Linked DNA regions of Oryctolagus cuniculus. The protein of the gene in region 1 purifies or fractionates together with the protein of each later gene. This does not show direct contact. Links are inferred from orthologs where the notes say so. Each region holds a gene or a part of one and is shown in the gene's direction. Other genes may lie near its edges.

The links.
Region 2: the proteins of PRMT8 (region 1) and EWSR1 purify together in Homo sapiens (affinity purification with mass spectrometry; 3 studies listed by BioGRID and IntAct, counting the BioPlex papers as one, with this or other methods). This does not show direct contact. The link is inferred for Oryctolagus cuniculus from reciprocal best matches to the Homo sapiens genes PRMT8 and EWSR1.

What each region holds. Positions count from the first base shown.
Region 1 is NC_091440.1:105,797,892-105,801,471, reverse strand, and holds the end of PRMT8 (protein arginine N-methyltransferase 8), read left to right. Parts: intron 1-1,093; coding exon 1,094-1,215; intron 1,216-1,955; coding exon 1,956-2,039; 3' UTR 2,040-2,795; downstream 2,796-3,580. UniProt on the Homo sapiens protein: S-adenosyl-L-methionine-dependent and membrane-associated arginine methyltransferase that can both catalyze the formation of omega-N monomethylarginine (MMA) and asymmetrical dimethylarginine (aDMA) in proteins such as NIFK, myelin basic protein, histone H4, H2A and H2A/H2B dimer.
Region 2 is NC_091452.1:22,698,104-22,701,915, forward strand, and holds part of EWSR1 (RNA-binding protein EWS), read left to right. Parts: intron 1-2,586; coding exon 2,587-2,773; intron 2,774-3,812. UniProt on the Homo sapiens protein: Binds to ssRNA containing the consensus sequence 5'-AGGUAA-3'. Might normally function as a transcriptional repressor. EWS-fusion-proteins (EFPS) may play a role in the tumorigenic process.

The sequences.
Region 1 (3,580 bases):
CGATCCCAATGTAACTGAACATTTGATGGGTACAGTGAAGCAGCGTAAGGTATCTGCTCCTGGGGAGCTCTGGCCTCACGGAGGCTGCAGCCCTGTAGAGGAAGCAAACAACTGGGGGGGCGGAGGCAAAAGCATCCCCAGTGTGCTAGACACCGTTCTCACACAAGCTCAGGATTCTCTGGGGGCCCCTCCTCCAGGTTTGGGTAATTGAACGAGGTTTCCCAGAGGAAATGACCTTGAGTGAGGAGGAGCAGAGAGGCTGGTGAAGGAGCGAGGGGGAGTGTTCCAAAGCCAGCTGCTGCAGAGGATGGGGAAGACGGCCCCTGAGGCAGGAAAAGACGACCCCTAAGGCAGGAGCACGCACACTTAGCTGGGGGAAGATACAAAGTGCGCAGAGCTGGTGGGTGGGGCTCACTGGGGCAAATGCAGAAGTGCAAGCATCGTCGTGGCTTTGGTGACCAAGCTGGGGGCCGGCACTGGTGCCTCGAGAATCCTCCTTCATCTCTTCTGACCCAGTTAGGAAAGCACGGTTGGAACCTCACAGCAGGCCTGGGCCAACGTGCTCGTTCAGTTCAGGGCCCAGAGCCGCGGGCAGGGAAAGCCGTTTGTCGGATGCAGCAGCAAGTTCATGGGCAAACGGAGGAGCTGAGGGAAGTGGTGTAGCTGTGGAATTTGCACAAAGCTGTCGTTTAAGGGGAGACAGGACGGGCTGCTCTGCCAACCTCTCCCCCGCACTGTGTAAAAGTCTTCACCCTGTGGAACAGTGCCATTTCAGGAGTTCATCTGTGCTACTGAGGTTGGCTGGAGGCATTCGTCATCGCTCCTTGGTATGGAGTTGGTTTCTCCTCTGAGCCCGAGTGTTGGTCCGCAGTCTCGAGTGGATGGAAATCTGGTGGAAAGAGAGGGCAGCGGGACTGAGTGGAAAGTTCTGGTGGGGTCTGGAAGCTTCCCCCTACTCAACAAGAGCGTTGGGTTCGGTGGCTCCACCGAGTCCCCTGGGAAGCCTGCACTCCTACGTGGGATCCCAGCCTCCTCTTTCTGGAGACTTCTTCTCTGACTCTTCCCTCTCACCTGTCCCGTCCTTCACCTCCAGCCCCCGATGCCCCCTACACCCACTGGAAGCAGACCGTCTTCTACTTGGAAGACTACCTCACTGTCCGGAGAGGGGAGGAGATCTACGGGACCATAACCATGAAGCCAAACGCCAAAAATGTGGTGAGTACCAAGGCAGCCAGCCTCTGTGTGGCCGGGGCCAGCAAGGAGAAGGGGCCCGTGGAGCTCCAGGGCCCACCTGCCCAGGTTCTTGAGGGTCTTGCACATAGTCAGAGAAGTCACTGGGGAAGACAGGCGGTGGCCATGTGTGGATGTGACCAGGCGTAGTTCAGAGCCTGCAGCCCTGGCCCCTAAAGACTCAGTAGTCTGCTGTGACCTCTCAGCCTTGGGGACAGCTTCCAGCTCTGCAATCAGAGAGCTTGAGAGCGGAGGTTGCTGTGTGGGAGGCGTCTACCTCATTTAGGACGAGCAAGGCCAGGAGCTAGGAGTCTGTGGTGCCCTAGAGGATATTTGGCCTGTCTTCAGCAGTCCTGGTGGACTGAAGACAAATCTGATTCTCTGTGAGCAACCCTGGCTGTGGACACGTGCACTAAACATCTACCGAGTACTCAGAAGGTTGTGCTGTGGAAGATTCTAGAACCCCAGGATGACGTCAGAGGGAATATTTTTATTTTAGAACAGGAAGAATTTAGGTTAGGCATCAAAAAAACTTCCTGTGAGGATAATGAGGCGCCAGATTCCTGAGGGCTGTTCCGGGGAACTTCTTTGCTAGGAAACCTTGAGGAAACTAGGGCTACCCATCCCCGGGGCACTGCGAGGCAGCCCAAGGCCAGGGAGGGGCTGTGAGCACCGGCCCAGACTAACGCTGGGCCTCTTTGCTCTCTCTCTCTCTCTCTTTGCAGCGAGACCTCGATTTCACAGTAGACCTGGATTTTAAGGGACAGCTGTGTGAAACATCTGTATCTAATGACTACAAAATGCGTTAGCACATGTGGGAAGCCGCAGAGAGCGAGCGAGAAAAAAAAAACCTCTCACTTCCATCTGCCGCGCTGTCCTAAGGAATCCTGTTAGCAGGACTACACACTCGAAAACCAGAGTTAGCAACTCTGCCTTGAAGATTGGGGGCCCGGCCACGGACAGAGGGCCCTGGGCTCGTCCGCTCTGCCCCGGGAGCCCCTCACGAAGGCTTTGCTGGCGCCAAGAAAGAGCAACCTCATGTGCTGTGGCCGGGGCCCCGAAGCTGGAAAAGAACCCGTGTATCCCCCCTTGTCCTCCTTAACTGTGACTCTTTGCATGCTGCAGGCATCTAGGACAGATTGCTCCCACTAGAACCTGGAGACTTGGTGTCTTTGATAGCATAAGCCAGATTATCTGTCTGTGCGGTGGTGTGTGCGTGCGTGTGCGTGCCTACAGCATCTACACTAGTTTATCTACCCACAGACGCCTGTATATGCATGCATATACGACCAAGTGGGTATTCTCCGGAGGGTCGTGTGCGTGCGCGTGCGTGCGTGCGTGCGTGTGCGTAGAACATATATTACTCTCAGAGGAGATTCTGTTGCTTTCGAATAGGACTTTGTTTTGTGATTAGTTGCCCCTCCCCTGCCCCTTACCAGATGTTAAGCAGCTCTGAAACGTTCTCTGTACTAGCTCTGGTCGTCTTTGCACTAGACCGTGGCTCCGAACCCTGAGCATAGGACCACAGACTCTGTGAGCGCCCAATAAACACACATGAGAACGAAGCGATGGGAAGTCGTGCGTTCCTGGGGCTCAGAGCGGGAGGGCAGTGGGAGCCTAAGGGAGAAGCAGCACCCTGTGTCACAGCCAGGGAAATCGGGGCTGGGCTGTGAGTATCTCCCCTGCGCACCGTCAGGGTCCCGGTGAGAAGAGCCTGGAGCTGGGGCAGAAGCTCAGGTGCTCCCCTAGAATGCTCCAGAAAGGGAGGCCACGGACAGACAGCCTGGGAGCACCCAGCAGCCCAGAGACCTGTCGGAGGACATCCCGCCTTTGGGGAGGAATCCCTGTGGGATGGACTTGCCGAGTGCTTGGTCAGGCTGCTGGAGTGTTCGGATTTGGGTTTGGTTTCAGCTGTTCCCCCACCTCCTCCTCTCCCGCCCCCTTCTCCTCCTCCCCCTCATCCATCTTCCCTCCTCTTCCCTCTCCTCCCCCTTCTCCCTCTCCTTCTCTTCCTCCTCTTTCTCTTCCCTTTCCCCTTCTCCTTCTTCTTGAGAGACACAGAGAGCGAGGGCTCCCATCTGCTAATTCACGCCCCCAAATGCCCACAATGACTGGAGCCAAATCTGGGAGTCAGGAACTCCATTCTGGTCTCCCATGCAGCTGACAGGAGTCCAGTGATTTGAGCTATCACCATTGCCCCCTCCCCGCCCAGGGTCTGCAGAGTCCACACTAGCAGGAAGCTGGAGACGGGCGTTGAAGCAGGGACTCTGATAGGGGACATGGGAGTCTTGACCAGCATCTTAACTAAGCCTCTGTTATCCTTCAGCTTCTGAGACCATCCGTCTCATCT
Region 2 (3,812 bases), on another chromosome or scaffold:
CCCTTTCAGGCACATTAGCAAGAAGCTGGATTGGAAGTGGAGCAGCTAGGACTCAAACTCAGGGATTGCTGGCTAGGACTCAAACTCACAGGGATTGCTGGCGTCACAGGCAGCAGCCCAACTCTGCGTCGTACCAGCCCCCAACCTGACAGTTTCAAAAAGGAAAATTATGGCCTCTGTATAATTAATTTAAGAATTTTCAAATGTTTGGGGTGGAAAAGAAAATATTATAGTTAGAAAAGATGCCACTTATTTTGAAGATTGATTATTTGAGGCAGAGTTACAGAGAGGGAGAAACAGATATTTCATCTGGTGGTTCACTCCCCTGCAATGCCTGCAGTGGCTGGGGCTGGGCCTTGCCAAAGCCAGGACTGTTGTCTATGTCTCCCACATGGGTAGCAAGAACCCAAGCACTTGGGCCATCTTTTGATGCCTTTCCAGGCGTGTTAGAGAACTGAATTAAAAGTGGAATAGCTAGGGCCAGCGCTGCGGCTCACTAGGCTAATCCTCTGCCTTGCGGCGCCTGCATACCGGGTTCTAGTCCCGGTCAGGGCGCCAGATTCTGTCCCGGTTGCCCCTCTTCCAGGCCAGCTCTCTGCTGTGGCCCGGGAGTGCAGTGGAGGATGGCCCAAGTGCTTGGGCCCTGCACCCCATGGGAGACCAGGAGAAGCACCTGGCTCCTGCCTTCGGATCAGCGCGGTGTGCCGGCCGCAGCGGCCATTGGAGGGTGAACCAACGGCAAAGGAAGACCTTTCTCTCTGTCTCTCTCACTGTCCACTCTGCCTGTCAAAAAAATAAAAAATAATAATAATAAAACAAAAAAGGTGGAATAGCTAGGATTTGAACTTGTGCTTACATGGGATACTTAACCCACTATGCCACAGTGCCAGCCAACAATTTTGATTATACAAAAAATTAAAGTTTATTTGTTTTGGCTTAATACAGTTAGTAAGGACATGTTTATTCTAACAAAAGTTTAAGGCCCTAAACTTCCTTTCTTTTTTTAAGATTCATTTATTCACTCCCCAAATGGCCACAACAGCTAGGGCTTGGCCAGGCAGAAGCCAGGGCCAGGGTCTTTTTTGGGTTTCCCATGTGCTTGGCCATCTTCCACTGTTTTTCTAGGTGCCTTAACAGGGTGCTGGATGGGAAGTGGAGCAGCCAGGACTTGAACCAGCATTCATATGGGATGCCAGTGCCACAAGCAGTGGGTTTACCTGCTATGCCATAGCGCTGACCCCTCTCTTTATAACTTTGATTTCAAATAAATAAATACATCATTTAAAAAAATCTTTTTTAATGAGATTTGAATTTTTCTTTGATGGATATAAATGCTGACATCTAGACCAAACTTTGTATTGCATGGCTTCTATTTGTGCTGTTAACCAAGAGGAAGACAAAACTCTCAGTACCAGGAAAAGTTATGGCACCTTTTATAAGAAAGGGACTCAGAAACTGCTGGCTTTGAGTTTTGCTCATGCTCCAAGCCCAAGTCCCACAGGAAAACACATGGCTCCTGCCTGATCTGGCAGAGGCAGGAGCTGGGGAGGGGCTCCGTCTTGGTGTGCAGCACACCTGTGAGAACAGGTCTTTGTGATTCTTAAAGAGATCCTAAAGGGGAGGTGGGTCTGTAGAGTCTGCCTTTGATATTGCTGAGCAGGAACAGGGCCCCTCTGCCTGTGGTAGGTAAGTTAAGAGAGGAATGGAGCTGGGTAACTTGGTAATCAGCCAAGATCTAAGATCTCAAGAGTTTTATGTCAAGGATGTTACCTTTTAAAGGTTTGTTTAGGGCAGTATTAAGTTTAATTAAAAATAATTTGCCACAAAACTTAAATAGGGTAACCTGTGTGTGTTAAGCAAATGTAATTATAGCATTTCTATTATTTATATGCCATTTAAAACCTTAGTGTTAATAACAGCATTTGTTCTGGTTGTTTTCTGAAACAAAATCAGTTCGTGAGAGTGTTCAATCAATTGTTAACTGCTCCCACAGGAAATTAAATGCATGTTCTCTAGATTTTTGTTTCCTTAAACATGAGCTATTCATGGTGCAGTGTTTGGGACTGAAAAAAATTTAATTACTTACCCAGGCTACAATATTAAACCTAGTACCTGGATCATTATTTTTTGGCAATTTTTAATTGCCACAAAATTTGACATTTGCCTCCTTTTGGGGAACATTGTTGTTGCTTGAGGATTTTAGGGAGTACTTAAGTTTGCTAATTGAGAAACTTAACAGGAAGGCCTGCTGGCAGGATCACAGGATCATTAACAGCAGACTTGGCTGTTACTGAATATCTTCAAGACAGTGCAGAAGGAACCCTTTTTCTTTAGCAGCACTTTCCTCTAGCTACTCATTCTCCTATTATATACGAAATCAGAGCAAGTGAGATGTTATTTTGCTAAAAAAAAAAAACGTTACTTTGGGAGATCTTCGGCTTTAAATAGTGGTTTGTTGTTGCTCTTAATGGAAAATGTTTTAAGAGAAAATTTCATGATGCCTTGAAGGAGATGGTTTTCAGACTGTAAATGTCTGGCAGATCTCTGAGAGATCCCAAAATGTGACAAAACTCTCCTTTGTTCTAGGTTATACTACTCCAACTGCCCCCCAGGCATACAGCCAGCCTGTCCAGGGGTATGGCACTGGTGCTTATGATACCACCACTGCTACAGTCACCACCACCCAGGCCTCCTATGCAGCTCAGTCTGCATATGGCACTCAGCCTGCTTACCCAGCCTATGGGCAGCAGCCCACAGCCACTGCACCTGCAAGGTAAGACCTCACTCACGTGCTCCTCCTAACTACAGTACATCAGCCTCGGATTTGCGGGAAAGAAAGCAGCTGTGCAGGGTTGGAGAACCTGTAGCTTAGTTCTTTAGAGTTGCTACTCTCATGCTGTTAGTGTTGACTGTGTTCTTAGCCATTACAGTGATTAATGTGCTGAAACACACCTCAAAAGAATAACCAGTTTACCGATAAAATGGTGACGTGCAATGGCCAAAATAAGCAGTGTCACTGAATGTGTTGTCAGGTTTCAGAATGGCGACCTTCGGGAGGCTGCTGTTTTTACTCTTCTAAACCCAAGAGATTTGAGTGTTGTCCCTGACAACATACTAATTGATGGGATTATATTTCTGATACTTTTATTGGCCTGCAGTGGATAATAGCTTTCTCCCTGGGATCAGCATGGTAGTTCACAATTCAGGATGTTGAGTAACATGATGTGAGTCTAGAAAGAGTTGTGTGATCCAGCTGTCCATGAAGGACGTATCTGTGGTACAGAAAACCTAGCACTACTGCCTGAGTTTCAGCAGTTGATGTGATTGTCTCTTCATATGTAAAGGCTCTGTAACCTAAATATCATAGCCAAGTATCAATTCTCATCTGGTACCCGACTGTGGGATTAATATTAAGTCCAACAGAACTCATGCCTCATGACTGGGTAGCAGGTAAATAGTATTAATCACTACTTAACAGAAGATTTCAGGTCTTTGCTTTAGACAGTGCACTTAGGTCGCTTCTGCATACAGTCTTGAAGGAACACTGAATTCTGATTTGAATGAAGACTTTTAGGGACTAAGCACGATCAACTTGTAACCTAGACTTTTTGTCTGCTGTAGAGGTAAGAAATTAGCTGTGTCAAACGCTCGAAAGCACTTCTAAAATGCACAGTGAGTAATCAGAGCCGCCTGGTGGTTTGCACCTGATAGATAGCCTGTGCAGCAGTTAGGTTAAACTGCCTGGTTAATTCCCAGATGGGCCCCATTTCAGTTGACCTAGGTTCTTCAGCGTTACCAGGTAAACAGAGTCC